Drosophila melanogaster: one gene and its partners. The protein of the gene in region 3 interacts with the protein of the main gene of each other region in a pairwise test. Each region holds a gene or a part of one and is shown on either strand. Other genes may lie near its edges.

What was found.
Region 1: the proteins of CG5890 (region 3) and Spn88Eb interact in a two-hybrid assay, tested with the Drosophila melanogaster proteins (one large-scale study listed by BioGRID).
Region 2: the proteins of CG5890 (region 3) and CG9498 interact in a two-hybrid assay, tested with the Drosophila melanogaster proteins (one large-scale study listed by BioGRID).
Region 4: the proteins of CG5890 (region 3) and CG4229 interact in a two-hybrid assay, tested with the Drosophila melanogaster proteins (one large-scale study listed by BioGRID).

The regions. Positions count from the first base shown.
Region 1 is NT_033777.3:15,204,733-15,212,782, forward strand, and holds Spn88Eb (serpin 88Eb), read right to left. Parts: upstream 4,031-8,050; 5' UTR 3,952-4,030; intron 3,385-3,951; 5' UTR 3,373-3,384; coding exon 2,392-3,372; intron 2,330-2,391; coding exon 2,030-2,329; 3' UTR 1,971-2,029; downstream 1-1,970. Other genes in the region: Mau2 sister chromatid cohesion factor, read left to right, coding at 4,568-5,985, 6,044-6,524; CG6654 (uncharacterized protein), read right to left, coding at 6,814-7,475, 7,531-8,050.
Region 2 is NT_033779.5:6,346,568-6,354,337, forward strand, and holds CG9498 (uncharacterized protein), read right to left. Parts: upstream 4,468-7,770; 5' UTR 4,395-4,467; coding exon 4,021-4,394; intron 3,957-4,020; coding exon 3,788-3,956; intron 3,724-3,787; coding exon 2,992-3,723; 3' UTR 2,826-2,991; downstream 1-2,825. Other genes in the region: CG9497 (uncharacterized protein), read right to left, coding at 107-826, 893-1,061, 1,220-1,584; ppk7 (pickpocket 7), read right to left, coding at 5,757-6,070, 6,174-6,416, 6,478-6,531, 6,589-6,721, 6,787-7,764.
Region 3 is NT_033777.3:25,852,632-25,861,332, reverse strand, and holds the start of CG5890 (uncharacterized protein), read right to left. Parts: upstream 5,180-8,701; 5' UTR 4,360-5,179; intron 1-4,359. Other genes in the region: CG5886 (uncharacterized protein), read right to left, coding at 7,589-8,516.
Region 4 is NT_037436.4:16,552,990-16,560,247, forward strand, and holds CG4229 (uncharacterized protein), read left to right. Parts: upstream 1-3,833; 5' UTR 3,834-3,906; coding exon 3,907-3,909; intron 3,910-4,096; coding exon 4,097-4,864; 3' UTR 4,865-4,969; downstream 4,970-7,258.

The DNA of each region.
Region 1 (8,050 bases), about 11 Mb from region 3:
CTCATCTAATTTATTAGACAACTAAGCATTTAAAGCGCACTCAGGCCAGAAAAATTTATGAATCTCCCAGAAATATTGACAAAATTCCCCAAAGTGATTTCTGTGTAAAGTCACTACTAATTATGGGAGTAGTTAAATTAGAACTGCAAGTCCCAGCTAATTACGTACTTAATATTCACTTAGTTTGCCAAACTTCAAGTCATTAGGGTTTTCTAGTTACATAAACCGACTACTGCAGAATTGTTGTAAACAATCACGAAATATTTTATAGACTTAGCTTAGATGATTTGTGATTGAAACTTTTTAGAAAATATAGAACCGATTTGAGGTCGTTAAAGATCGCTTTAGGCTGATTCACCAAAAAGCTTTTTCCAGTCCATGGAGTGGTCAGCTATTTGCAGACGACAGTTGCAACATCTCCGCAGAGGCGACATTAAAAAAAAGTGAAAGTTTCCGCTGCTCTGCACTCGAAATTCGCAATCCGAACATAATGTATCCATACATCAGCCATTCCCACATGCATCCATCGGAGCATGAAGGAGCGCCCACAGATCGGATCGGATCGGGGATCGGTTTGGGAGCTTGAGCTTTGTGATGACCATAGCTCCAGTTTTGCTTTCAGCAGCTGAGCGATGACGAAGTCATCCGTTGCGTGACTGCAGTGAAAAGCGCTTTGTTGTGTGAAAATAAAAAACCCAAAATTAACATTTTCGATAACCGGTTGCGGATACCACCGGCAGTTACCAATATACATAGTATATGATTCATAAACGTATTTCAACGCGTATGAATGCTCATTGTTGACCCTGTATGGGCGATTTTGTAATTGCTTTCGGCTGGGTCTTTTATTTTTTTTTTTTTACCCCATAGACGTAACGCTGTTTCTGCGCATGCGCGTCGTTTTTTGTGCGTTTTGCTGGGTTTTTTTTGGGCGAATCCAAAAAATATTGAACAACCAGTTTTTTGACTGACAGGTGGAAATGGACATGTCAGCCAAAATTAAGCTGCATTGAACTTGGATTAATTGCTTTGTCAAAAACACAAGCACTTCCTTTGAAATTTCTTAGTAAATAAATATAAGTAGAATTCAAATTTCTTGGACAAATGCGATTTACTTTTTAATCATGTCATATGAGTGACTAAGGCAAAATTATTTATTTTTGCACAACAAAATTAAATAAATATTTTCATTCCGATTTCAGTGTTTTCCCCGTTTTATTTATAAACGCAGAGCTATGTGTCACTCAAAACAATATTTTTCTTTAAAGTCATCAAGTGAAAAACCTATTAAATTGGAGGTCATTATGGGATCGCACTTCAGAGATCAATCAAATCAAGGCTATAGTGGCAAAAAGTTATAAACAGCGAAAATACACTGGCCCATTTAAAATGCGTGCCTGATATATGTACATATGTATGTATATTCAAATCCCTATATGCGTAAACATATATCTACGTATGTATGTGTAATTGTGCAATCATTTGCATGCTGATTAGTGTTACAATAATAGACAACGCTTTAATTTCAACCCGATTCGTTCGCTTAATGATCGTCACAATTGCCGGGGAGTTGAACAAATTGGGACAGACACAACTGGATGATCACTGGGAAATACCTTCTTCGAGTAAACGTAGGCTTAAGTGGCACCGATATACAACTATTACTTGGAACGACTGCAAGTCCGTTCACCAGCGCGTCTAACTATAAACTGAGTCCGGTGCTCCAAAGTAGCTTGGTACTTAAAACCCAAAGCGCAGCTTGGATATCGATATCCGATGATTGTCACTCAGAAAGTCAAGATGTGGGTTGCTTCAACGGGTTTGCGTTTCGTGCAAAAGTTGTTACTTAAACTGCGATACAAATGTTGTGACTTGGATATGAGCTTTTGAGAGTTGTATGGAAATTTAAAAGTATTACCTTTCAATAAGCTAGCTTATATCGAAATTAATAAATGAAAATAACAGTTGGTGCATTATAGAGCATATTTTTCTTCAAGTTTTTCAAAAACACACAAGTCTTAAAACACTTCTAGTGCTGCATTTGCCTGGGATCGCTGTAGACGCCCGCAAAGAGAATCGTGTCTACCTTTTCATCATAGATAAGAAACACGAACGGGTGGTTGCAGTTGAATTTGGTGGGATCGGGCTGCCTGCTGGATCGGCTGACCAAGAGGATGGTGGCCGCTGCCGCAGTGCTGCCCACTTCGTCCACTTTGATCTTGGCCAGATGTTGGGCGTCATCGATGACAAGGGAAATGGGATCGGCAGTCAGGTCTCCAAAGGTGGCGTTTCTCGTGAACATTGTGTTCACTCCCATTAAGCTGAGGATCTGAAAAGGTAACAGCTTACGTGTTAGTGCGACTCAAGTGGTCCAGTTAGGTCATAGCTTACAGGGGTCAGTTCCAGGCGCTGCTCAAACTGGAACTTGGGCAGCGACAACTCGATCTTCTGCGGCAATGCCCGTTCGAACCATTTCTTAACGGAATCGGCATTTAGCCGGGATATGACACGGTTAAGACTGATTTTGTTGGAGTTCGGCAGAATGATAATCATGGAGATATCGGATTTGGACTCGGGGGTGGAAATGTGCGTCTCCTTCGACTTGTATATGGTGCGGTAGGGCAGCTTGATGATCTGCGATTGCAAGCCCTCATCGATGGTCATCTTGAAGGCGCCCGTCTTGTGCATCATGTAAACCATTTCCTGCTCACGCTCGTTAATGAAGAATGGCTTCAAGGCGGTCTCCTCCACCTTGAACTGGCTGAGCCACTGGCCCTTCATGTAGGCGGCGTTGGCCAGCACCAACATGGTGTGGGGTGTGATCTCCTCGGAGCTGAGCATGTCGCGGATCTGGTTGTGCGTCTTATCGGCTATCCAGTCGTTAATTTCCTTTAGGCCAGTCTCCGGATCATTCTTGAAATCCAATTCTTTGGTTGCCCCGTAGAGTAAAGTGTTGAATTTGTTGGAAACATTTATTGTCCTGTCGACGAAAATTCTGTTCGCAGACGAGAGCTCCATGGGACTTTGGCGCCAACGAAATTCGTCCTGCCTCTGTGCCAACGTGTACGAAACTAGGACCTGCTGTTTGTTTAATGCCCATCCCAGGTTCAGTGCCTGGGCCAGCTCACGTTCCGTCTGCTCGGAGGAACTGAAGTAGGCGAGGAGCAGGGCGTTGTAGGTGCTGAACGGCGAGAAGAACAGATTGCCGCTGGGATATATCTCTCGGATCTGTTTCATTAATGCTAAGGAGAAGTCTCGTTCTCCCTTGAAAATTTGTGAGAATTCATTTAGAAATGATAGCTCCGGCTTGTCCAAGGCAGCTATGGTTACTACGGGAAGGAGGGCCAACAGGACCAAACTGAAGGTGTGCATAGTTGGTACTGTCTAAAAATTTAAGGACATTCATTAAGTATGAACTATAAAGAATTTATGAACTAGAACTAATAAATAGTGAAGGATGTGATATTATTTCTCACAATGTGAATTTTTCCAAAGAAAAAACATGAATCATTAAATAATCTTGGCCTCATAACATTATAGTTTATTGTTCATATGTATGTATATTGTGGGATTTTGCCAGAGATAGTGTTGGAATCCTTAATCGACTTTGTGGCACATCCAAATTTTGTCGGACTATTAAAAATGAGCTTTTTACAATAGGATTTTAAATATAAACATTGACACGAGCCCAACTGAGACAAGTTTCTCAGAACCATTAAAAAAATCTCTTTCTTCACATTTCCTAGAATTCTGTATTTCTTGTATTCATCATAATTCTTATAACATATATATTTATATATATATATATATTATATAGTATATTTATACTGATAAGAAACTTTCATGTGCCGGAGTATGTGTTTAAATCGATTGCAAACATAAATTATTATGTATAGTCGTTATTGATACAAGCGTATGAAATATTTATTTTAAAAGAATCTTGGGTTTTACCTTAACGGAATTTTGCACAGAACTTAAATCAAAACGGAAACAATGGTGGTCCAACCGATTGCACTTACAATCACTGACTAATGCATGTGGCAATAAACGGCAGAGCTAGGCTTAAAAATAATGAGAATAATGCGATAAGCGGGCGAAATCGCAGCTGATCCTCGAATTTAAATTGATAACGTACTGTTCCGTCACTGAAATAAGACGGTTTTTCTAAACAGTGATTTAAAGTAAGAATTGGTTTCCTAATTGGAGTTCTGCTAAATTTACCATGTTTAAATAATATTATCTCATTTTTCTATATTTATTAAATTTATTTAGTTGATTACTGCAAAAAGAAATAATTTTTGATTCGTACAGAAATATATATTATCTACTCAGTTTTGTTTTTAAGCGATAGCTTTTTTCAAGTTTTATGTTCTGCTGAACGGGACCATTCGCGGTACTGAAAAAGAGTGACTGCCACTGTGACTGCTAAACGATAACCGCTAAAGCTTGGTTCACCACTAGAATTCCGCACTTGACAACACTGGCAGCCACCACCGTGATTGAATAGTCGCGAATTGACAACAAAATTACGCGATAAACAAACCGAATTTGGCACCCGCTCACCGAAATGAGTGCATCGACGAGCACGTCGACGGCGGCGTCCCAGGACGCCTGCTACATATCGCTCCTTGGCCTGGCGGAGTACTTCCGCACCTCGCAGCCGCCGAACATCAAGAAATGCATCCAGTGTCTTCAAGCCCTGTTCACATTTATGCCGCCCTCGAAGGTCGAGGCGCGGACACATTTGCAGATGGGCCAGATCCTGATGGCCTACACTAAGAACATCGATCTGGCGCGCCAGCATTTGGAGAAGGCGTGGAGCATATCCGAACCGCTGCCCAATTTCGACGTTAAGTTCGACACCGCCTCGCTGCTGGCCCAACTGCATCTGCAGACGGACAGAAACTCGCATCAGGCCAAGGCGATGCTCCGGCGGGCCGTGGAACTGTCGCAAAACAACGTCTATTGGCACTGCAAGCTGCTGCTCCAGCTGGCCCAAATACATGCCAGCGATCGCGAGTACTCGCTGGCCTCCGAACTGCTGGCCGTGGGCGCGGAAAGTGCCGACGAGGCGAGCGCCACGTACCTGAAAGTGCTCTTCCTGCTCTCGCGCGCCATGATCCTTATGATCGAGCGCAAGACCAACGACGTGCTCGCCCTGCTCAACTCCGCCGGCCAAATCATTGACAACAACATACCCAATCCACACCAGAAGGAGTACCTGAAGGTGTTTTTCCTGGTGCTACAGGTGTGCTACTACCTGGCCCTCGGGCAGGTAAAAACGGTGAAGCCTAGTCTCAAACAGCTGCAGATGTCCATACAAACGATAATGGCGCCAAATTGGCCTTCGGATGAGGCGATTTTCGGGGCAAATCAACTCGAGATGTTTGTGTGGCTGCCCAAGGAGCAGCTGTACGTCCTGGTCTATCTGGTCACTGTCTCCCACTCAATGATGGCGGGCTACATGGACAAAGCACAAAAGTACACGGAAAAAGCACTCACCCAGATCGAAAAACTTAAGCAACAGGAGGACAAACCCATTCTATCCGTATTCAAGGTGATTCTGCTGGAGCACATTGTGATGTGCCGCATGGTGATGGGCAACCGGGAACTGGCTATCCGGGAAATAGCAGCCGCGAGAGACGTTTGCATGGCCGCTCCGCAACGCAGCCTGCTACGGCGACACTCGGCTCAGCTGCACTGCCTCATCGGGCTCTACTCCATGTCCACCAACCTCTTTGAGCATGCGGAGAGGCAGTTCGTCGTGTGCGTGAGTGAGACCAGCGAGCGAGACCTGAAACTGTTTGCCAACCTCAACCTGGCGATCATTTATCTGCGCACCAAGCGGGACACGGACCTCAAGCAAATCCTGGATGCCGTCTCAACGGAAAACACGCACACGTATAGCAGTCAAGCGCTGATGGGAGGCTTCTACTACGTCCAGGGACTGCATGCTTTTCACAAAAATAGCTTCCACGAGGCGAAGTTAGTCACCTTAAGCCAAGACTCTAGAATGTAAACTGATAATCTTTATTCTTTTCAGACGCTTTCTGCGTGAAACTCTGAAAATGGCCAACGCCGAAGACCTCAACCGACTGACCAGCTGCTCGTTGGTTTTGCTATCGCACGTCTTTCTCAGCATCGGAAACTCAAAGGAAAGCATGAACATGGTGACGCCGGCCATGCAACTGGCCAGTAAGATACCCGACATCCACGTCCAGCTGTGGGGATCGGCAATACTAAAGGACCTGCATCGTATGTCAAAGGATGTGCAGCATGAAAAAGATGCTTATGCTAACCACGTTAAATACTCGGAGAACCTGATTGCAGACCAGCGCAAGTGCGTCCAAAGTGCGCATCACGAACTCGTCAACTGGTTCCAGGGCGATCCGCCAGTGACGAGTGGTCCGCCGGCTGCTCCCGTCCTGCTCATGCCAGAGTCCTCCGTTACAGCCTCAGTCCCCGTCATCGCCTCCACATCGACAGCCATGCAGCCGGCGGGGCAATACGGTCAGTTCTACTAGCAATGAGATGATTATGCAATGTAACTTTAAGCTTTTATTTTTATCTACGACCTAGCGACTAAGTTAAGACTAAAGATGTTCTAAAGTTGTGAATTTTGTCATAAACTGTGTTCCCGAGGGAAAGAGTAGACGGAAATGTAAAGCGGATGAGTTGTGCGCATTTGAGTTGGGTCGTTCAACTTAGGATTATAATCATTATTACAATTAAAAGTAAGGATCCGTCTTGGGTATTAGGCAAACTCAACCACCTTTACAAAAGCCGCCTTGCTTGCACAGCTTCTACATTGATTTATAGCATAAGCGCAGACTCGGTCATCTCGTTAAGTTCCTCTTCAAGGGCCCCGCTTCCGTTTTCCTTGTTGCTTAGAAATGTGAAGTGCACCAGGCGTTTGTCGTGCTGCTCGTGGCCGGCCAGATGTGATCGCATCTCGGGCATCGACTTGAACTCCTCATTGCACACCGGACAAATGTAGATCCGCTCGCCCTGATGTGTACGCTGGTGCATCTGGCAGTCACCCCGCTGCGTAAAGGTCTTCGAGCAGAAGGGACAGACGTACGGCCGCTCACCTGTGTGCGTCCTTCGGTGGTTCTTTAGCACATTGAGGGCAGTGAATCTCATGGGGCAGAGATCGCAGGCGTATGGCCGTTCGCCAGTGTGCTTTCGTTTGTGCTTGGCCAGGGAGCAACTAGTGGTGAATCTGGCCAAGCACACCTCACACTCGAAGGGCTTGTCGCCGGTGTGGGTGCGTGCATGAGAGGTGAGTTCCGCCTTGGTAACAAACGAGTGCGGGCACAGCTCGCACTTGAAACTCTTTGTCTCCGAGTGACGCAGCTTGTGCTGGCGCAGATTGGCATTCTGTGTAAAGCTCTTGCCACAGATATTGCACACAAAGGGTTTCTCGCCGGTGTGGATGCGCATGTGGTCACGCAGCGTGGACAGCATGGTGAATACTACAATATTAAGAGACAATTAAATAGGATTTTCGACCACTCTTTGTTATCTTACCTTTCTGACAGATATTGCACTGATTCCGCAGATTCCGCTTGTGGCCCTGCACCATGTGCTTGCTAAGTGCCTCCTTGGAATCACAGCGTATTCCACACTCCGGGCAATTGTGGGCACCATGACTGGCCTGGTGTTCCGCCAAGTGATCCGGCGACACGAAGACCTTTTCGCACTCATTGCACTTGTAGTTGCGATTAATGCAGCCCTTTTGGCGTCTGTGGATCATCAACGATTTCTCCACCGCGAATCCCGCATTGCAACGATCACAGTGATATTTGAGCTCAGGGGTAGTAGCTGCTCCTGACGTTGTGCTTGGCCCGTTTACTGTTCCCGCTCTTGGCGCGCTGAGTTTTCGCTGTGTTCCTAACCGATGCTGTTTGGGGGAAGGCTCTGCATCTGACGGCGGTGTAGCCGGTACATCCTGCTTGACAACTCCGCGACGCCGTGAGGTGCGCTTAGCCGACTGAGGTACTTGTTCCTTCTCTAATTCGCGTGCTTCCTCCTTAGAACCCACAGGAGT
Region 2 (7,770 bases), on a different chromosome or scaffold from region 3:
TTGTATTTACAAATGAACGAAATGTTAAATCATTAAATACATATTTGTAAAAATCCTAGGTAGATATATTCAAAAGGTACATATATAGTAGTAGTGCAATTGTACTTCAATCCAAGACACCAGCGCGTTCAAAGTGCGGTAGCGTGTAGCGCAGCGTATCCGCCAGTCGGCGGGACTGGAACATCTGACGCACCTTCTGCTTGGCAAAATCGGCGTCCTTGAAGTTCTCCAGGTTGTTGTCGGCGGTCTGGGCCTTGTCCTGGCTAACAGTGGGGAAAATGCCGTAGCTGGCAAAGAATCCGTAGGACTCGCGACGGTGGACCTCCTCCAGGATTTGCTCGTAGCTGGGCACCGGGATGCCCATGTCCAGGTCGAGCAGCGTTTTGGCCAGCCGCGCGTGGTATGTGCGCAGCAGCTGGGTCCGCCGATGACGCAGCACTTCCAATGTCAGGCTAGTGTAGAAGAAATAGTTGAGGTCGATGCCCGGACTACCCCACACGCTCAACTGGAAGTCGATGAGGATGAGGTCCTGCGGACGCTGTGCTCCGTCGTACTTGAACAGCATATTGTTCACCCACAGGTCACCGTGATTGAGTACCTTCACCTCCTTTTCCTGCGGTGCCTGGCTGCGTTCCAAGTTGGCCCGCTGATTTTGCATGTACTTGCCGATCTTCTCGGCGATCTTTTCGAAGCCGGGCCACGTGCTCACCAGGTGATGCAACTCCTTGCCATTGCCCGAGAAGAACTGCATCAGTAGTCCATCGTCTTTGGCTAAGCCCCTCGGCGATAGCATTCCGTCGCCATATGCATCGAAGATGTGCGGATCCTGGCCAAATCGAATCAATTCCATAAAGTTTCACCATTGTACTCATTTTATAAATGAAATACTTACCACCACAGCCAAGGCCATCGAAGTGGCATGAAACTCCGCCAAGCGCTCCATGACAAGCTGACAATGCTCCTCGTTCAGTCCCAACTCGCGCGAAGCCATCACGAAGCCCTTCTCCGCCAGATCTTCGAACACAAGGGAGTTCTCCGGCTGTTTTAGGTAGTGATAAAGTCTTTGCAAGAATAAGGATATAGGTTAAACCACAGTACGTTGAGAATAATTTGTCTATGTCACATTACGATGTAACAGTGCGTATGAGTAATATGGGATTAAGTAGTTTGATGAGTAATGAGCAATTTAAGGCCGGCTTTGAGACTTTTTGAGACTCACTTAGGTCCGAATCTCCGGTTGCACTGCATCAAGAGCTCTAGCCGCGGTAGCACTTCGTAATAGGTGATCTTCTCCTTGAGGTAAACTTGCAGGTCATCAATGAACTCCACCGAGTCCAGGTGGGGAATGCTCTTCACAATAAACGCCATGTGCTGCTCCGGATGATCGGGGCGCTTAAACGAAACCTTCACTCTGTAGATTTGACTGCAGTAGTTCTCGCCCGTGCTGCTGCCCATCCGGATGTGAATGGAGAGCAGCTGCACCCTGGCTGTTCGCAGAGCTGTCTCCAGCACCTCCTCGAAGAAGGGCACGTCCAGGTGGCTGGGTGGAGCAACCACGTCCGCGTCGAACACAATGCTACACATCTTGGGATCGTTTGAAAAGTGGCTACCAGGCGGTGCTCAATTTATATACGTGTCGCTATGATCTTGCCCAGCTGAATCCGGCGGCGCAATTAATTATAGTTATGTGTATCCAGTTATGTGTAGTATTATACTTTCAGTTATATATAGACTTTAATAGACGACAACGAGATGTCTAATTTTTCGATATTTGTAAAACACGCAACGCGGAGACGTCGACCTTTTTAGGCGCATTTAACTAGTAATTTGACTTCCTGTTTTGAACTCTGCCGACAATATTCAGTTTGAATATTTTTCGAATTCTGCTGGATGAATTCCACTTGCAGCGATTGGCAGCTCATTATCTTATCAAGTTTTGATTCGAATTTGCATTAATCCAACGAGTTTCTGATAAGGGAACGCTTTCAGTCAAGTGTCAATCCGAAGCTAATTATATGCGAACGCTTCTTAAATATATTATATTTGTACGTAATCGTTTATATTAAATCTGTTTGGCATGATTACATTCAATATCTTACCTTAAAGGTAATATGATTAGGCCATATATCGCACTAAACACAAGGTTTAGATGATATTATTAAGATGGCTACTATCCTCCTACATTTTAGGTGATGGGTATTATAAAAAGAATATACCTCATTCGGTACTTTATATATGCAACCTGTTGTATAAAAGCTATAGCTTTAATAAACACATTAGACAGAAGATAACACTATTCTACTTTTTTTTATAAGTTGACCTAATGATAGAGCCCTAATAAAATAATCCCAGACTGCAGAAACTAAGTGACTGAGAATGTTTGAAGGAAACAACCATGAAATCATCAAATTCTGAATGCACGTGATCGCTAAGGGTATTATTATCTAATACCTACGTGGTTATTCAAGATGATTGTAAGCTTTATAAGAAATGCGTAATATATACTGTGTAATTTATTAATTCAAGCTCAAGCTGACTGTGCTTCCATAAGGTTTCCAAACTCAATCGTTTTTATGGTTACTTCGGATCTCGAAACCTACAACCCGAAATGTAACCATATATGTATAAGTCCCTGATTCGATTGCGTCAATGTGATCTTATCTTAATATTTTCTCATTCTCAGGCATCAGAAATCAGCGTACACTCATAGAATAAGTGGTATACTTAAGCGACTATGAATTGAAAACATAAGTGGTTATGTGTTGTGCAAGCCCCTGAAAATTGTCTGATACCATATTCCTGAAATCTGAATAAAAAATACATTTCGTTAGTTTGATTTATTGCATTGAAGTCAGGTTTGGTACTTTAATCAATCCAAAACATTTACATTCTCAGGCCGAAAGCTAATATAGCTATATCAAGGATGTGTGCCTTGGAAGAGCCTCCATTTATATCACAGAACCCCAACCATTATAATACTCATGCCACTTTTCAGTAGTCCCCGAAGACGCCAAGTGAATCAGCTCGCTTCAGAGCCCACTTTTGGTGGTCGTTCAGGAACTTTTGCGAGAAGATGGCATCCATCTTGCGCTGCTTGAAGGCCTCGTCCTGCATGTTCTCAATGCTGTTGTCCTGGGCCAGCTCCTTGGGCATGGTGATCATGGGCAGGAAGGCGAACATGCCGAAAAGTCCGTAGGTTTCGCGGCTGCGCAGCTCGTACTGCAGATCCTCATAGCTGGGAATGTCCTCGAAGCGGGCGTACTCCAGAGCATCCTTGAAGGATGCATAGTACACCTTGATGAGCTCCTCGCGGCGCTCCTGCAGCAATTGCAGCTTGATGCTGGTGTTCAGGAAGAAGTTCAGATCGCAGGCCGGACTGCCATAGAAGCTGAGTTGGAAGTCCACGAAGATGGCACGCGTGGGAACGTCCGGCTGTGAAGCGTTATCGTATCCGTACATGAAGTTATTGGTCCACAAATCCCCGTGGTTGAGCACCACGTAGCGATCACCCTTCCTCGGCCTGGGCGCATCCGCACACACGTTCCGGAAGTTGTCCATAAGGCGCTGCAAGTGCTTGCTAATCTTCTCGTAGCCGGCCCAGCTCGCTGAGCTCTTGATGAGGCCCTTGAGGAAGCCGCCGAACATTTGCTCGAAGGTGTCGCTCTTCATCAGGATGTCCTCGCTGAGCATGCCACGCGTGTATTGCTTCACAATAGCGGGATCCTGTGGAATTGCAAAAAGGAAGTCATTACGAAGTTCGAGGATTCTCCAGAGTCATCACTGCTACCTTCTTGGCCAGCACCATGGAGGTGGCATGGAACTTTCCCAGTTGCTGAAGAATGAGTGAGGCGTGGTTCCAGTCCAGGCCTTTTTCACGCGAGGCCACCTTGAATCCCTCTACCGTGAGGTCACTGAACACGATCGTTTGCACCGGAGTCTTCACAGAGTGATAGTATCTGATGTGAGATAGAGATGCTAGTAAGCACTGTGTGCCTTTATCCAAAACTTTCATTAACTTACTTTGCTCCGAATGTGTCGCCACGGCTGAGGATATCCAATCGCGGCAAGACATCAGTGTAGGTCTGCTTCTCCTTGATGAACACACAGACATCCTCCAGAAACTGAGTGGCTTCGGTGATCGGAATGGTCTTCACAATTAGCGAAAGCTGCTCCGTCACCGGGGATTCCCCACCGTCGGCCCATCTAGCGAACGAGACTCCGACACGATAGATAGCCGAGCAATAGTTGTCCCCCGGATTGCTGCCCCACGCAAAATTGATCTCCTTCAGGGTCACCTTCGACTCCCGCAAACCCTCCTCCAGGGTCTCTGTGAAGAAGTGCTCGTTGAGATACTCGGGCACCGAGATATTCTGCTCGTTCTTAATGACCACCATTTCGAATCTCTAACTAAAGCGATACACCTCCGATCGAAACCTTAACGCTTGCCTTTCGTAGCCAACTGATTTTGCGGCCTCGTAGAACTCAGCGTTTTATATTTGCTTGCAATAGTGTTAGTTTTTTTGGGAAATGTTTATACGACAATTCCGAGCTTTTCGTATGACTGTGGTGTCATCGTAAAAATAAACTAATTAGGTGGTAAAAGGTATAGTGGGTCGAATATGAATTGAATTTATATTCTAGTTCTATTTAAATATAAAAGTCGTCTACAAAATATGTATTGGGGCTCTTTAAAGTTTCACTTAAAATAATCTGTTATATATTTCTTTATTAAATTTTACAATGTTGTGCTTCCTAAGCCATACCCTTGTGCAATATCTATAGCTATCTATTTTTTGTGACATTTTCTTACTTACTTTCTTAAATTTTTACTTACTTACATATCAACTGCGACCCACTGTTTGCCTCGAGCTTTCTAAGAGCCAAAAGTCTCAGTCTAGTGTCTAACTCTATGCGTTTTGCATAGTCATCCACATCCAACGAAATACACTAGCTTGTGGGTTGATGAAACCCTAATTAATTTTTAGCTCTTGTTTTCGTTTTGTTTTGATAGCAGCAACCTGTTGAACAAAGTCATTCGACCACGTCATAGGTGCTCTATGGAGAGATTGAGATTCGATTCGGCTGATAGTTCGGATTGACAACAGGCGGTGCTTCGCTGCTGGAACACCGCCCGTCAGTGGGTCAACAGACGTGGTATTTGCTCCGGGTGTTATCAACTCTGCTTGAGGCATCCGTATCGGAATATACAATTCTAGAATCATTTAAACGTGCCGTCCATCTCATATATACACGTGTATTTTTTACTCACGGTGATGATAGTGTTAAACATCAACGGGTTCAGGGAAGGATTTGGACAGCGCGGGGGATTTGGACCAGATTTATATAATCACCTAGTTTCTCACTTAGTTCTATTAGTATTTTCTTTGTATGATGATTAACGCAAATTCTCATCAAGTTAACCAACTCATTTAGGAATTAACATAAAATAAATAAAATGCTGCTTTTTTCTTAAAAATCAATAATTGTTTGATAGTTGGTGCCTGCAAATCGAAGCTAATCCGCTCCTGACCGTAGGTAATGAATATTGCCTCAGTAGTAAAAGCCCAGCCCATCCAACTTATCACGCACACGCTAACAATAGATTAAATCATTTCCACAGAGCTTTTGCGTTATCACACTCAGTAATTTCGGTGTGGCACAAAATAATTTAAAACACTAGAAAAAATATTTTAAAACCAAACGGAATCATAGCATTTTAAATTAATTTAAATGAATATTTTATTCGCTCACTCGATTCACTTGCCAATAACATGCTTTTGAGCAAATGTTATGCGGTGCCAGTTTTGAAAGTTCGCCTTCTGCTGTTGCGCCTTCTCAGCCTTCAGTTGCATAATGTAGTTCTCCATCAGCTGACTGGGCGTGGTTTGTTGAAAGTTCAAAGTGGGCGTGGGCACGGTTACGCCCAGATCCATCTGCCGTCGAGCCTTCCACCTTCGACGCAGTCCATCCAGCCCAAAGGCCGGCACCTCAATGCACAGGAAATAGGCCAGTTCCATGCCACTAATTAGGGAGCAGCCAAGAAAAAGACCGGCAATTCCTCCAAAGCTAACTGGTGGAAAAATCCTGATTATTTATTAATTAGCTATGTCTCTTAATACATAGTTTGTGGAACAAATTACGGGATTATAGAAGCTATTTGATTTCGTACTGACCCATTAAGTCCACCCAGCCGAAGACGAGGCTGGTGCGATAGACCATAATGGTCTCGAAGCGAAAGTGCACATCCAGGTCCACATAGGAGTTGTTTGCGTACACATCCGGTGGCAGGAAGGCGGGCCGGACATCGCTGATGTAGTTGAGGGAGTAGCAGTTGCGGAAGCACTTGCAGGACATTCCCTGAAATTGGTTGCGAACGAACTCCTTCTCGCCGGGATTGTGGGAGTAGATGAGCAGGTCTGCGGGTGAGGGATACTGGTTTTATAAGGTCTTCTTTGGTGAGCCTGGACTCCTACTAACCATTGTGCTCAGCGAGGCACAGCAAATCCTGCGCCCGACACGATCGATATTGACCTGGTCAGAGAAACCAATGAATCGATCATTTGGTAACGATTTTGATAACGTGCTCACCCGGTGGAAACAGTAGGTCCATTGTGCAGTTGCAATAGCGCACCAAGTACTCCTGATGGCACTCGGACTGACAGTTTTCAATCATGTAAACGTATCCTTGCAGCGACTTGAAATCCTTGCTGTTGTGCTCATCCTTGAGGCATCCAAAGTGCAGGATTAGAAATAGCCTTGGTGGGTATTAACAAGATAACCACTCACATCGAAGACGCACTGGCGCTGGTCGGAGCGAACTCCCCGGGTGTCGTTGTCATAGAAGTAGATGACGGGTTCGATCTCCATGGTCGTCTCCGTGTTCGCGGCCACGAAGAACGGATTGTTGTGCCACACAAATGGCTCGGTAACCATGACATCGATGCCCTTCATGGCATTCGTCTCCCTGTGCCCCGGCCAGTGCTTCGCGGGCTGGATGAGAACACGCACGGAGAGGGCGCTCATGGGACCCGCCGACCCAGTACGCCAGGGCCACATGGGATCGAGCAGCTGCATCCGCCTGCCCTCTTCCGTCTCCAGCGAGTTGAAAGCCCAGCACAAGCCGTTCTTGCTGCGCCGCTTCGAGAAGATCTCGCAGCAGTCGTAGGCATGGTGGCGCCACAGGCATTCCGCGAGCAGCTCGTTGCAGCGCCAGGTCATAAAATCCACCACCTGGCTGAAATTGACATAGTTGAGCAGCTCCGTTGGCTGGTTGCGCAATCGCTCGAAGGACTGAAAGTGACCGAAGTAAGCATCGTCGTAGGTGCCCACAATCAGCTCGAAGAGCTCCTGCTGGGCGGAGTTGCTGCCGTTGGCCAGGAATCTTGACTTCGCCTCCGCCAGGCGTTGCCAGTTGAGGCGATTCCGGTTGCAGATCGTTATGACCGGAAATGGTATGCGGTAAACCGGAAACCGCGTGCTATCCACCACCGTCTGGAAGTGGGCGGCGTTGTAGCGGGCGGAGAGAATCAGGCAAACGTACACCGCGCCCAGGAAGGCACTCACAAAGGTGCACAGCCAGACGAATCGCTCCCATCGACTGGCCTTGGCACTAAGCAGCCTGTCCAGGCCGTGGATAGTGGTCCGTTTGCCAAAGCGCAGGGCCAGCTGCCAGGAGGATTGGGCCAACTGTTGGGCCAGGCGACTGGATCTCGATGGCTGCTGCTGCTGCTGAAGCTTTGAAGGAGGAAAGTAAACCAGTGTCATGTCGGC
Region 3 (8,701 bases):
AATGGCCAACAAGAAACTGACTTCATTGTTGGCCAGGCCAACAAAAAGCCTTGTAAGGAAACTGCCAAAATAGTTGCAACGACTTCAAAATGGGGAGTAGTTGGGTATTCACAATTTGGTATTCAACTGTGCGAAATTCTGAACAATAAGTCGTTACATCGGCGCGCACACACACACAGATCTGTAAAGAGAGCCACGGATATTCGAGGATATTTCCACCCGCTAACCCTGTTGGCCCCCGGAACTTCCGGTTCGGCGATATGCGCCAACTTGCAGACAATCATTCGGTCTGTGGCTGTGCCCTTTTCTTGGCCAAAATGGCAAAAGCTTAGCGGGCTTTGGCAAAGCTATAAATATGCCGAGATATGTTCATGAACTTATTGCTGCGTGGGTGTATGAGCCGCGAGTCTTGCCAGGATTGGTTTAATTTATGAGCTGACTTAATTTATTTCCGCCAAGGACAAGTCAAATTCGATCGAAACAAGTTAAATTGGCTTACACAACATAATTGCTTAGAAGTGGCATAATTTGTCTCCTTATATCCGTTAAACTTGTCAAAAAGTAGTCGAAATTTTTGTGATTCATTTTTAGATACTTCTACTTGCCAACTCTTAAAACATTACGAATATTCAGAACTATAGTTACCCGCCGCACTCAAAAACCAATTACATATTTGGGAATTTGTTTTCTCAACTTAACGTTGTTCTGCGAAAAATCCACTACATAACAAACTTTTTTTCTTCTTCCTCAACATTTGTTGTTCGCCATGGACATGAAAATCTACAAGAACAATATACCGACCAAATAATATAAAAATGTTGCCAAAAACAAGAACAACGGGCCACAAGAGCAACAAAAACAATGGCAATGGCAATAAAAAGAAACATTCAACTCTCGCAACTCATACAACTTGTCAGAAAACAGAGAGAGAAAGTGAAAAGCGTGGAAACTGCCCAAATTGGGGGGAAAATTCCGAAAAGTATGCAATATTTTTTTCCAGTTGGTCCTTCAACTTTTCGTGGCTCGTTGCTGACTTGGCAGGCCCGACATAGTAATTAATGCCTGTAAGTGGTCCGCGTGGGTGGCTGAGCATAGTTGTTGCCACTCTTTTTAATAGGCTACTTCAAAAAACCTAGTGTATGATTTAACTATGGAAGGAATGTTTATTATAGTATGGTTATACGAAAAAAAGATTTGTTTCAAGAATGGAATCATTTTGTTTTTATAGATAGAGAAATACCGGGTATGTGATAGTCGAGACCTGCACGAGCTATCTACTCATCAGCAGAGTGCTTGGACTTGGCTTGTTAATTGCATGTTACCAACATATGTTCGCTTGTAAATGTGGATTTCCGCCCATCCCCCAGTGGGGCAATTAAAAAATGTTACCAAAATGCTCGGCTGCAAAGACATTTAACTTTTCTGAAATTGCGGGTAATTTCGTTTCGTTTCGTTCTTTTCTTTCTTGCTTTCCATCGGATGTTTGTAACACATGGCGTATGTGTGTTACGGCTACAGGCGCTAACTTTCGGACAAACTTTGCTCTTATCAGCTGGTGATAAAAATATAAGAGGGAAACAAAGAAAGAAAAAAATTGGAAAAACCTCCGTAAAATGAATGTTCGTATGGGATGAATGGGGATGTGCAAGTTTTATAGACACATCTGGCGGTTGGCTATATAAATTTCAAGTTTGTTGCTGTTTGAAAGCTAAACGATTCCTTTTTTTCCTAGCTGTTGCATATGTGTGTATGTAGCACACCCGATGCCTGCACACGCATGTTTTATGGCTTTAACCATGGGAGGAGGAGTATTTTTTTCCACGATAAGTTGACCATTAATGGTCGCCAAATGCTAGCAAATTGATGTTCACGCTGGGAATGGCTTGCGGTTGCCTTTGGTGGCATAAAATGCTTACATATACATATTTAAAGCCCTTTAAATGGTTCGTGGTTATATTATGTACGAAGAAAATATAACACAATAATATTTAACGCAAATGTATGGTTTCACTTAAAAAAAGTTAAATGCGAACAACACTTTTGGTATTTTATTATAATATTCTTTGGTAACTTGATACTTGTGTGGCCTTTGGTGCAAGTTACTTAACTGAAAGTCAGTTCGTTTGAACAGGCTTAATTATTCAACGAGGTCTGGACGTTTGGCGATTGTCACGCCCTTTGCTCATTACTCACTTAGGCCAAGACAATATCATTCGATTGGGCCAGTAATTACCAGTGTCATTGAATGGCCCACACATCTAACACCCAAAGTGATTAGGCACTTTATAGCCGAAAAGCGTTGAATCACTTTGCAGCTCACAGCTGCGGTTCTCGTTTGGTATTGCCTTGCGTGTCTTTGCGTTTTCCTTAGAGTTTCCTTTTGGCCAAGGCCAAGGTGTTTTGACCTTTAACCGGTAAGTAATAGTGCCCAGATGTGCTGCACAAAATGTTTAAATTTAACATATATCATCTACCAATATTTATTTTGTGTGCTGTCATCGATGCTCATTCCAATAATTGAATATTTGAATGATCAGCCATTATATGGCGTCCACTCACCAGGTTTTTATTATATTTTATTTTATTTTTTACAGTTTCCAAGTTCATTTTTTCAATGTTGGCTCGTGTGAATTTTATTTATAACTTTTCTATTTACAGTTTCGTGTAGCATACATCCCGGCGACCGCCCCTTTGCCCCGCATTCACCCACTTGCAAAACAACAGCAGCCACTTTTATGTAGGCTCTGTACCTGTATCTGTGTGTGCGCCGTGTGTGTGAGTGGGGATGTCTCTGTGTGTGGATGAATGAAACTAGAGCGCACCTTGATTCTATTTTTAAATGCCACACAAAACAACAATTGTCGCTTAGTTGCGCGTTAAGTGTTTTTCATCCAGCTTCCCGCGACCAAGTTCATTTTATTCTTAGGATGCAGATGCAGCTTTTCTCGGCTAGAAGCACTTAAAATAGTTGGCCAGGGATTATATAAATAGATGACAGCGAATTTAGTTTGGCAAGGACCTTGTCGTGTAAAATCGCTTAAAATATATATATTAAATCTCCATATATTTGATTAATTACATAATGTGATTTACACTACTTGAAGTTACTTTTCAAATCGGTGAAATTAGATTACAATATGACCAAATCAATCACGAATCAATGTCGCACGAGTTGGAAAACTATGCCAAGTTGACTTTTTAATCGGCTTGTGCATCTAAATGGAATTGGCATTTATTTTATGGTTTATTGCCAAGCGGCACGATAGTTGCTTTTGTTGCTTATCAATTGTTGCGCACAACTTTTGTTTGTTTGTTTCCTTTTAACAGCTTGTCACGGATTAAATGACACGGAAATTGGGTTGAATAATGGGAATTTTTAATGACGCAATTTAAACGCCATGTAAAAAGAGTTTTACCACTTCTGGGAATAATTCATTTTGTAATATTGTTAAAGAAAATAAAACAAACAAATCGTATACTCAAGGAATATGTTAGTATATTCGATTCTCACCCATATATTACCGCAATGCTAAAAAATAACATATGTAAAGCTTCACTATTTTGGAAAATTATAAACAAGTTGTCGACACTTCTGCCAAAAGTTAAAAATATGTATGAACAATTTAATATATTTTCACAGTGCCGTAAACAGTAAACAATTGCAGCCAGGTGCGTCTTCAAACACAGATTCTTATTTGTTTAAATAAATATGAAAATTAACATTTCAATAGTAAATCGAAGCCTCACATCCAATTTTAAATATAATCTCACAAAAATACTCTTTGATGCGTTTTTTAAACATTTTCATTATTTTCCTCAATTATTGAATGAAAAACCTGGCACAGCTCAAACTTCAAATAGAGCCCATAAATATTTTCCATAATTTTGCGAAAAATAAACAAAATATTCCAGACTGTTTTTTCGCATTTTTCAAGGTGAGTGTGTGAATTTTCACTAGCCTGCGTGTGTGTGTGTGTGGGTGCCTCTGCGAAAATGCGATGGTGTGCGTGCGTGCGACTTTGGCGCCTAGTCAAATAAATCGCATGCGATTAAAATTTTATACAAATAGCTTTAGAAGCGTGCGTTTTGCTTTGTTGTGTTTCATTTGCCGTGCCATTTCCACCTTTTCACTGTTTGTTTTCCATTTTTTTTTTTTCATTTCTAGTCTTAAGCTGCGTTGTTTTTGGTTTTTTTATGGGGGCATGGCGTCAGTTAAATGAGTTGTTGTTTATAGTTCTTGAGCATGTGTGCGAAAAATTTGCATTTGTAGCGTAACGCTTTTGTTTACTTTGTAGGTTAGTTTGTTGGCCCATTGACTTATATACACACACTCGGCTAAAATATAACATATATATTTACCTTCGATGCCTTTTGATGGTGACGGCAGCAGCGGCGGCGGCGGCGGCAGCAGCGGCGTTGACGAAGAAAGCGGCGAAAGCAGACGGAGAAATTGGCCAAAACGGAGATGAGGGAGGTAGGAGGAGTTGGTGATGGCTGATGGTTGAGATGGGTGGTAGTGGGCGGTTGGGTGGTGGTGGGTGGTATTAACCTCAAAGCATGTCAGCAAACAGCTCCTCGAAAGCACTTGACTTGACTCCTTTCGATATTTATATTTTCCTGCCCTCCTTTGCGTGCCTCGTTTTAATTTGTTAATGATTTGGGCTTATTCATTTATTTGCATTATTTGGCGCTCACTCTTCCTAACTCTGCTTATTTGGTGTTATGTTACATTTTAGCAAAACTTGCGGTCCTGTCTCAACGATTGTTGTTGCTGTGCGGAAAATGCCAAGCAGCAAATGTAGCACGAGCAGCAGCAGCGGAAAAAGAAACAAGAGGAAAAACTGTATCTTTTAGATCCGGGCATATCCTTTATCTCGAACAGCGACTGCGACGCTGGCTGAGGCAGCAGCTGTAGCTGTAGCTGGAAAATTTCCTCCAACTTGTTTGTCTAACTCTCGCGTTGCTTTTCAAAACGATGTTTTAGCATTTAAGTTAAATTTAAAGCTGCAAGCTGCAATGATACAGCAGCAACAATCGTTTCCATATATAAAATCCAGCAAAAGAAGAACTCGATAGCAGCAAAAACCGCGCAGCGTTTTCCCCGTTTACCGTTTCGCCGTCAGACACACACTTTTCCCACAAATAAAGCCAGAAACCGTTCGACGCGCGCACGCGAGTGTCCTATACACAACTGATTACAGGACTGCGAAAATGGAAAATGTTTGCCAGCAGCGACGCTTCGGCATTCGGTTTTCCCTCGCTCGGAAAATCTCCGGCTATCGCAGCCAGGCTTCTGTTGCCGAAATATCCGGAGCCACTCCGCCGGAGACGGAGAGCGAGTTCGCCGGAGAGTGGGTGCGCACTCACTTGGGTTGCGGGCGGCACATAGGGTATAGCATAGCCCTCGGCGGTTACAGTGGACTAAGTAGCCACATAACGCATATAATTAGTTTGAATTGTAATAATATTGGAAGAGCTGTTTTAAATGGCAAATATATTTACTTGACTGACAACGTGGCGTATGAGTAATTTTTAAAATATGTTACTAATGAAAGACAGCCTGTTTGTGACATTTAAATTCATGACAACTATTATTATATTGTATATTATAATAAAATAATTATTATTTTATTATAAATGATTTTGGATAAGAGAAGGAAATATTTATTTACAAAATCTAGAAATTGTTGAATTTATATCTCGCACATAAGAAGTACTGCTGAAAGCATCTTTAAGATAGTTATGAATCTTCCAACACCCTTGAAAGTAGCCCACTGTGCAAGCAACACTCATATTCCTCATTCATCTTGCTCAGCCCGCACAATTGGCTGCCAAAAGTATTGCCACACCAGTGTCGGCGACTTCGTCCTTTCACTTGAACGCCAAAAGTGAGGCAGTCTGGCAGCCTCTACTTTTCTGGTCCTGGTCCCCAGTGAGGGTCTTCTTCTGTTACGCTGCTGTTATCCTGCAGACCGCGAGGGTCCTGAGAAATGACACCCATGAGTTCAGGATGAATACGACGCCACGACAGCCAACCAATCCTCCATTTCGCACATATGTACATATGTACATACATCGCACATACCTATAGTGTACATATGTATGTACATATGCTCGTCTGTTGGACATTTGCACTGTTTTTTTTATACCAACGAACGGACGCGTAGGGTTTACAGCCAAATGACAAGTGCTTAGTGTTTTGCATATGCGTGTGTGCGTACACTGAGAAAAATTTAGTTTTATTTTTTTGATCTTTTATTCGTATATAATTCTCATAAATAACTCGAAATTATTTTATTTCACATATCTTACAAACTAAATGTATATTATTAAAAAATAAACACATTTCTATTAAGTTGATGAAAAATTTTTCAGTGCTGGATTTAGCGGCTTGATACCCCCATTCTCATTATTCAAGCTGGAAAATGGGCAGCTCGGGGATGGGGACAAGTGTTTGAAGCACTTGGCGCACGCTTGAGCGGCTTTCAAATTTAGCGTATTAACTCATTAAATGTTCAAAAGCTCATTGCCTGCGAAATGTGCACACATTTCTGTGAATGCGAGCGAGGGTGTGAAATATGCACAAGTATGACACTTTGGCACCGAGGGGAAGACAGTTTTAATACCGCTTAATGGGCAATCGGGCGGAAGAAGCTTGAAATAAATAGAATTCCCTATACTCCTAACAATATCAAAATTTTTAATTAAATTTCTAATGACCATGGAAGAACGCTCGGGGACCTAACAATATAGGGTACAGTACATAAAACATGCTGTGAAAAAAGGGGTAAAAACAGTTGTTGCCTTGAGAGCTGGCATAATTAGTCCTTCTTTCGTATGCACCTCTTTATGCAATTTAAATTAATTTGTGTAATTATTTTAGTGACTTAACTGGCCTTATTTCAACACCCTCGCCCGCACCGAGTGACCGCTGGCAGCAGTTGGCGTTACGCATACGCCACGTTGCATGCGTCTTAAATATTTGATGGCGGAAATCTGGGGCCCGGCAAAAATGACAGCTGCGTGTTGAAAATAATTAAGGCGCAATTATAATGACCCTGGCCACGAACCGCAGGCACTCACCACTCATCACCACCGTTGAAGCCACCCCCATCCGTTCGCCTGTTGGCATTGCAATGTGTTGCATGCAACACTAGACTTTGTGGCGTCGCCAACAATGACGAAAGCAATCCATGGCCATCGAGCTTGTGCGCTCTGGCAGTTTCCCATTCCACTCCACTTATGCAAATTGATGCGAAATGTGGGCTAAGATTTATGCTTAAATCTTTTGGAAGGACATTCTGCAAATATTTACCCAAAGAAATAATTTTAATATTCTTATTCTGTTTGCAGGAAACACGTTTTACTCAATTTGTTGTTGAACAGCAATACACGATCACCGACGACATCCTTTAAATAAATACAATATACAAAGTACAATAAATAACTAGTACAAAATTCGGACCATGTAGGTTTGTAATTGATGACGTTTTTCAGTTGAGACATGGATGACACAAAATGCTTTGCAGGGAAGGCTTGGTGGCCGCCCGAGATTTGGAGATGGGACTATAGGCGAACAGTCAGTAGTTTAGTTGGCATTGGCATCGATTAGGGGAGGCACTTCGGATATATCAACAAGTGACTTTGCGGTGATAGCGTCGCCATCACCTACGAGCTCCTGGGTGTCTGTCGCAATGTCAACGGTCTGCTCCTTTTCGTTCTTAACGTTTGAGGCATCACCCGCTGCCTCTAGCTCGGCCTTTGACTCCGTTGCGGCTGATTCCTGAACGCCGTTCGCCTCACCGTTCGTTGTGGATGCTGCAGCTTCCGCCGCCGCTGCAGCTGCTGCCTTTGCCTTGGACTTTTTCTCCTTCTTGCGTATATTCTTCTTGGCATTGTTCGCCTGACGCTGCTCCTCGGCCTTCTTCTTTTCCTCAATGGAAGTCTTCGATTCATTCGTCGTTAGCAGCTTCATTTGGTTCTGCAGATTTGCCAATGTTTGCTTCAGTTCCGCACAATTGCGAGACATCATTTCCATTTTAACATTTTCAGCACTAACTGGCTTGACGTTTACTGGCTCTGGTTCAGGAGGCAACTGCGGCAGGGCGGGTATTTCGATCTCGTGATCCCGCAGGCACTTGTGCAGTGTTGTCCTCTCCAGCTGTAGAGCACGCAGTAGCTTCTGCAGCTGCTGTATTTGCTTCTGCAGGCGCTCTGAGTGCTGCGTCTGCAGACTCTTTTCTGTGGCTAAATCGATCACCATGGCATTAGCTTTCTCGTACTTTTGCCGCCAGCCCAGCGCCTCCTTCTCGATCTTCTTAGTGTGCTTGGACATCTTCTCAAGCTCCACCTTGTAGCTGCCGAAAACCTCATTGGACTTCTGCAGCGACTGCTGGAAGTCATCGTACTTGGCGGTGTATATGTTCAGTTGCTCCTTCAGTTGGTGCTCCCGATCGGTGAGATCCTTTATGGCACGTTGCGCTTGCATCAGTTTCTCCAGGCCAATCTGGTTTTCCCTGAAAGAAATGTGGAGTTTAGATATTTTTCGTGTGGATTAAGCTTTGACTAAATCATATCAAGTGAAGAGCAAACCGAGTAATATGAATTATATGCTAGCCACTCAGCTGTCCTCAATCAAAACCAGTAATCTCAGCGAGTTTGTTAAATAAAAACTTGTTTTCTAATGTGTGACCATCTATGG
Region 4 (7,258 bases), on a different chromosome or scaffold from region 3:
TTTATCTAATTGCCAAAGTCTCGATTTTCATTTTGTCAACGTTTCGCAATCGTGGCTCGTCGTTTGCGAAACATTTTCGTTGGCACGTCATTTCGGGCTACATAAATTTAAATTGAATTTTAAAAATTCAGAAGCCAAAGAACACCTCCGAAACGATGAATGCGTGGGTGTGTGGGGAGTGCCTAATAAAAACGTTTGCTTTGCCATCGATTTTCGGATCGTCGACTTCAAAAATTTCCGTCTCGAGTTTATAAATATTTATGCGAGGTGCTTTTCGGGTTTTCCCAGCCACCCTTCAACCAGAGTCTATGATAACTAGATGGATGGACGGGAGATGGGAAAACTATAAGTTAATGCGAGCTAAAAGGCACCAGGGACACGGTGCGTATGATTGATGAGCTTTTGCGGTCAAGTCATTTCCCAGTTTTGAGCAGCAATTGAACATCTATATGAAAACATATGTATGTGTTTTCTGATTTGTAAACTTTGCTGTTGAGTTATTTGGAAAAGTTGAATCTATATTGAAAGGGTTAAATATGATTTTAAAATGAGCTTACATATACATCAAACAACTGTACACGGAAATTGAAAACCAAAAGGTTTTGCTTACAACTTTTCATTTCTAAATAATGAACATATATCTTAAATTTTCATATTTGGAGTGCTTGCATATTTTATTTCATTTAAATTATTACACATTTGAAGATACTAAAAGTTGTTTAGTGAAACCTCAAATTTTCTGGGGATTTAAAATCTGTTTAAAGAGTTCCCAAAAGTATGATTTTCAATTTCCCTGTTTACTGGTGACAAACCAACTTTAAAGACAAAGCTTGAGTAGCACTCACCGTTGGATTTATCATTAGTACAGCTCTTGAAGCTCAACAGATACTCACGCCCACGATTTCAAGTTTCCAGCGGCTGCAGTTCATCAATTTTTCAACAACTCTGACAGCCGAAAGCGACTTTTCGGGCACATCATATTGTACATCCCAATGGCAGTCAGTGGACCAACTGAGACACATGTAAGAGCTAACATGTGGAACCGTGGCTTAATTACCTGCCCCAAGCTGTTGCCATTAACAACAGATTTTTGGCCAACCCAATCGATGATTAGGGCTAAGGACATGGCAGTTCGCAGGACCGAATTCAATTAAACTGTCACAAGCCACAGAATGAGTGACTTGGATTTATAGTCCAATTAATTGAAGCAACGTCAACGCAAATGTAAAATTAAATGATTGCGAATGCCTGTCCGCAGCGAAGAAGACGGATGCCGCCTGGTTGGTTGGCAACATGCAGGCGAATTTGTTAACAAAAAAAGGATTTCCATGTTGAGATTTGCCAGCATCAACGAGTCACGATAAAAAAAAGGAAGCACGCAACGGCGAAGAAAAGAAAGTAATTTAAATTTGTAAATCGATAGGCTTGACGGTGGAAGAACCCTTTTTTTTTGCAAACCTGCCGCTTTTTTCCCTTCTGATTTTTTACGTGATGCCGCGCCCATTTAAATTTTATAAATATTTTAACTTAATGCCAGCCGAGCGGTGGCCGACGGCGCCTAGAAGTCCTTGAATTTGCATAAACTAAAGACAAACTGGAGCCAGGACTTCCACTCCTCTTGGCTGCCACTCAAGTGTTCTCTATTTTCGACTGGGGTCTGTCCTTTTCGTGGACCTTAGCAAACATTCTCAAGTTGGCTGCCGTGGGAGCCGCGGGCTGCTTTTACAGCCTCTTTTCCAACCCCTTTGCCAAACCCATTTCCACCTGCCTGGCTTACAGCGACGATTTCCACTCAAGTGCAGGACCTTACAGCAGCTTTAACGTCTAATGGTCCGGATAAGGAATGTCTTATCAAAAATATCAGGTTTAATAGGATATCACTATCACAATAAAGGCTATATGAACTTATTCACAATTTTCTTTAAGTAACAGTATATTAAAGTGTAGTGGGACAACACATTTTTCGACTTAATGAATTTTGCATACATACAAATAGCTCAATTAAATATATTTATCATAACATTTCAGACACTATATTCATATTAATGGAAAATGGAATGAAAATGGAAAACAATATATTTTCAACGTTTTCAAGAAATAAGTGCTCTCATCCATCGATATTCTTGTCATAGTTATATTAAAGGCTTTTTTATATGCCATCTTTAACATTTCACTAAAATATGTATGTTTACTTAACCGAAGTAAATAAAAGTGGAGAACCCCTCACCTTCATTCGATTGCCGTTTATATTTTACAATGCTTTCAAGACATAAGTTGTCCTATCCATCGATATCCCTGCCATCCCTAGCTTAAAGTCCTCAATGGTTCGTTTCATTGACCCAACATGCAAATTGACTGTGAAACAAACAGGCAAGAGGCAAATAGACAAAGTTTTACATATGTATAGAATCGAAATCAAACACACACAGACTGAAATCAATGAGCCCCGCACAATTTATGTCTCAACATATCCTATATGCCATCTGCATGTTTCTGGGTTTTTTTTTCTGCCTATGCCGGGTTTCGCTATAAATTATTTCCCCCACATGGCAAGGCAAAAAAGTCGGCAAATACACCACCGCACTCGTCCTGCAAACATAAAATATTACACATGAGTGGTTTTTATGCAAAGAAGCTGGGCAAGAAAAGCTGGGCCTCCTCCTTCGACACTTTAAACTTGGCTAAGCAACAAGTTGGTCTTCTTTTTACGGGTCGATCGGTGTGGCAAGAATTATTGCGTTGCGGCGGAAACTTTAAGAGCCAACGGAAATTGTTGCCGCCTTTTAGGCCGACAACCAGGGAATGATTTATGTGCCACATGCAGCACGGTGGTGTGGGTTTATCCCGCCGTGGGAGTACAAATCTCTTACCAACTTATAACCATATATACGATGGCACGGGTCGCACTCGTTCATTAACAATTCATTAAATGCCACCAGAAAAATTAAACGCCAGGCTAAGTAGGGCAAATTTATGCTTGGCTGACAGGACAGCGAAATTGGCTTTCAGATGTGGTTAATATATATATATAGGTAAATGTAAACATGGGTTACAGTTGCGTAAAAGGTATCACCAAATAATGACTGGCATTTAATTTAAATAACAATAAGTACGTAAATTAGTATTGCTATATGGATGGATGATTGATTGATACATTTACATATCAAAGTAGTTGCTTTTTATAGATAAAAGTAACAAAGAGTGTTTGCGAGCTCATCAATTTTTTTTTCGGCATAAAGACCGCAATTGAATTTGGTAAATGTAATATGCACAATTATGTTTATGCCTATTAAATGACCCTCGGTGTTTGGTTAACAAACGCAAATACATGGTCGAAAATGAAAGCAATAAATAATTTTCGCAACAAGTTCTGATGACAATTTCATTGGCTGTGACAGCTGGGTTGGTTGCGCCCATTTTCCATGTAATACGCATTAAAATTAACTTAATTATTCACCGCCAGGCAATTAGCTGTGCAAAAAGCGATCCAAATATGATGAGAAAATAGAATAGAAGACTCTCAAAGAGTACTTCCGCACAATTCGACAGGCCTGTGAATTAACACCTCAAAAAATATATATTTACAGCTCGAAGAAAAAACGTTATGAAAATAATTGAAATAAAAATGCGGTGCCTAAAGGTCAAGTCGACGAACGAGGTCCAAAACCTGGACCACTTGACATTGTCCAAAGCAAAACTGAGGCAAGACGAAGCACCCAAGAAGAGCACTCCACTCTGAAGTGGCTCCATTTGTTACTGGCCTTTTTGTTTTTGGTTTCTCTAATTATGGCCGAACTCGCTTTTGGCTATATATTGAGCAGTTGGCCATTAGCAAATCATCAATCAGCTCAGGCAACTTTCAATTGCAAGACGCAAATCGTAAACCCGAAAAGGCAAACTTGAAAAATGGTAAGTCCTCAAGGATTTGAGTTTGCTGCAAAGGATTAAGTAAAGTCGCTAAACAAATCAAATAAATTGATCAAAATTCTACTTGGAAAGGAGGAATTTAAAATGGATTTTGGCTTAAATAAAGAATGCAAAATAAAATTCAACAAGCCCATGAAAATACTTCCACTAACTAATACTTATTTTCCAGAAAATCTTCTCGCTTGGTGGTGTCCTTACCCTCTCCGCTGTGGCCAGTGTGGCCCTAGGTGCTCCTCAATTGGAATCTCGGCTGCGCCGCGATGTCTCGGAACTGGTGGATCCCGCTGCAGTGGAATATCTGCCTCCTTCGGTCACCGAGGCTGTCCTCCTGAACGCTGAGCCTGTGGAGGCTGAGGCTCATGCCGATCCTGCTGCCCTGGAAGCCGATCCGGAGGCCACTGTCCTGGGCGATGAGGGCTACGAGTACCGCACGGTGCGCCGCCTTAAGCTGCGCCATCGCAACCGTCGTGATGTGTCCCATTTGCAGCCAGCCAGGCAGTATCTGCCACCCAGCACCGCCTACTTGCCACCTGCTCAGGAGGCGCAGGCTGCACCCGAGGCTCCGGCAGCTGCAGCTCCACCTGCCGATGACACCGAGGAGGTGGTGTCCGCCGCCGAGCCCAAGGTGAACCGGGAGTACCTTCCGCCCACGGAAGCTGCACCAGCCGCTGAGGAAACCACCGAGGCGGCTGCACCCGAGGAGCCAGCCGATGTCCGTGTGGTGGATGTGCCCACCGTTTCTGGGCAACTGCTCCAGGATGGCTACCACTACCAGCAGCCGGCCGAGATGCCCGCCGAGCTGAGGGAGGCCGCTCCCGAGTATCTGCCTCCGATCGGCGGCGAGGAGGTCATCGTGGAGGGTCCAGCTGGAGGCGAGAGTGCCGTCCTGGGCAGCGATGGCTACCAGTATCGTGCCATCAGGCGTTACAGATTTTAAATTTCTCAATTTGCCAGCGATTTGCTAACGTTTTGTTCCACCTTTTAATTGTTGTTGATGTTTTTTAATTGGTCTAAATAAAATACAATTTTCGAACAGTACACTAAAAAATTGTTTAATGCATTATTATAGATAGCGGTGAAAAGTTGTAAATTCCTGGAAAATGTAGTTTCACCTGATTGATTATTAATAATTAATGCATATTTAATGCGCAGTGGAAAAGAAGAGTAATGCGATTAAAAGGTTCAACAAAAAGTAGATAAGTTTTTGTAATGTATCCCCTTCTTCCTTTTTTAAATTTATTTTCTTCACCTCATTGAAATATGCAAATTTTTGAGTTAATTAAGTAAATCTTTATACATGGCAGCATGAATCAAGTAAATACACACTAAGAAATTGCTCGATTGCACAATAAATCCCCAGCAAGGACTTGATTCCCAGAATAGTTGCAAGGTCTTATGTATTTATATAATTAAAGTCAACAGGCTTATGGGCTACAAACCTGTGGCAAAAGCAAACATAACATTACGTATACGCACTGAGTGGGTTTGAGCTGCGCAGTCAGTTGGCTTACTTGTATGTACATTTCAGCCTTGTTTAGTGTCAATAAAAGGGCTTTTATATGTGAGTCGTCAATTAGCTGAATTTATGCCCAACTGGCATAGCTGGCAGCTGCTCCCCTTTGATGCCACCCCCCCCCCCCTCTACGATATGAAAATCGTTGAAGGATTTTATATTAATGCTCGTCCCGCATCCTGCCACGCCCACTGATTCTGCCACTCGGTTGCCATGGACGCCTTTGGATCTTAATTAATGCACTTGCGCGTTAACTCAACTCAATGGAAATGAAGGATGGAGTACGTTCCGGAAAATGTTCCACACAGAGGAGCAGCATTAAGTGCTCACTCAAGTTAAATTACTTTGACGGAAAAGCGCAGATAATGACCAGCTCGTCATTTTTACACACTCACTCTTCACTGGCCAATTTCTGCTGGCGTTCGCATCCGGATCCTCTTCTCGTTTCTTCGTTTTTAAATTATGAAATCAATTGTGCGAAATTCAATTAAAATCTTTGCACTTTTTGCCGCTGCACAGTTCCGGGCATGCGTATCGAAACGGCAGGCAATCTCAATTACATTCCAACATCTGTCCAAATATGATAAGGCCCTACCAACATTATACGCATGTTTATTTTAGGTCCGAATGGCCCCCGGGGAATGGCAAACGAAGGGTTTGGACCGAGCTGCCTCTGACAGCCCGCTTATTGCATATTAAATTGGGAGGACAGCGGCACAAATCAGAAATCAGGAATCCGGAATCCGGAATCTGCCAACGGGAGCAACAAGCCGAGCAACAAGCGGCTACATTCGTTTTGAGTGCTCGCCCGGAAGGACATTTGTGTTGTGAGCAAAGGAATAACAAAACCATGAAGTAGGGACAAGCATGACATGTGGAGTGGGCACTTCTGGGGTGTTTGGGCTAAAGTGACGCCGGTGATGGGAAATGCTGCTTAACAAAAAGACAAACATATTTGCGAAATCGATTTGCTAAAACAATTTTTTAGATGACAGTTTATATGTCATTTGATGGAGCCAGCAGGAATTCAAACTTCTAAACCTTGATCGTTATTCGCTTGTTGCTGTGCCAATGCCTACTGCTTAGGTGCTATTTTGAGAATCGCATAGAAAGGCGCTAAATTCGTATTATATTCATATTCGCATTATACTCAGTAACATAGCTTTGCAAATGATATAGAGGTAAGACAAATATATTTAAGAATCGTTACTCTTACTAGTTACTAGCGATTTTAATTGCTTATAAAATTATGTGATAATATATGAAGGTAACTAAATCCATCACAATTGCTATGTATCAGATAAATTTATCTCCAGTTAAACTAAGCGACGGATTATCTTTAACATTACCTTAACAATGACTTGTAAAACGTGAAAAATCCACACGAAATTCCACACCTCAGTCTGGGATAAATCGAATTGCCGCAGGAAGTCAATTTCGTTGGCAAAAAGCCGGCGCTGCAAGTGACAGACTCGCCCTGTGAAACGTTATTAAAAATTATTATGCATATTTATAAATTTAATTTGTGCATTACAGCGCTTTCCGACAGATAACACGTAGTATGTGCGGTGGGCGGACGGGCTGGAATCACTGCAGGCCATTCGAGTTGAGCTCGTAAATGGCAGCAGATATTCATTCCACAACAGGCTGCGTATGCAGGATATTCCATTTTGATGTCCTTCCCTTTCCCTTTCCATTTCCCTTTCACATTCGGTGTTTCTTCCCTGCGGTGCATATTTCATACACGCTTTGTCTTTCGAGCGGCGAGCATAAAAAACAAAGGATGCCAGGATACGAGATACTTTCACACAGACGGTC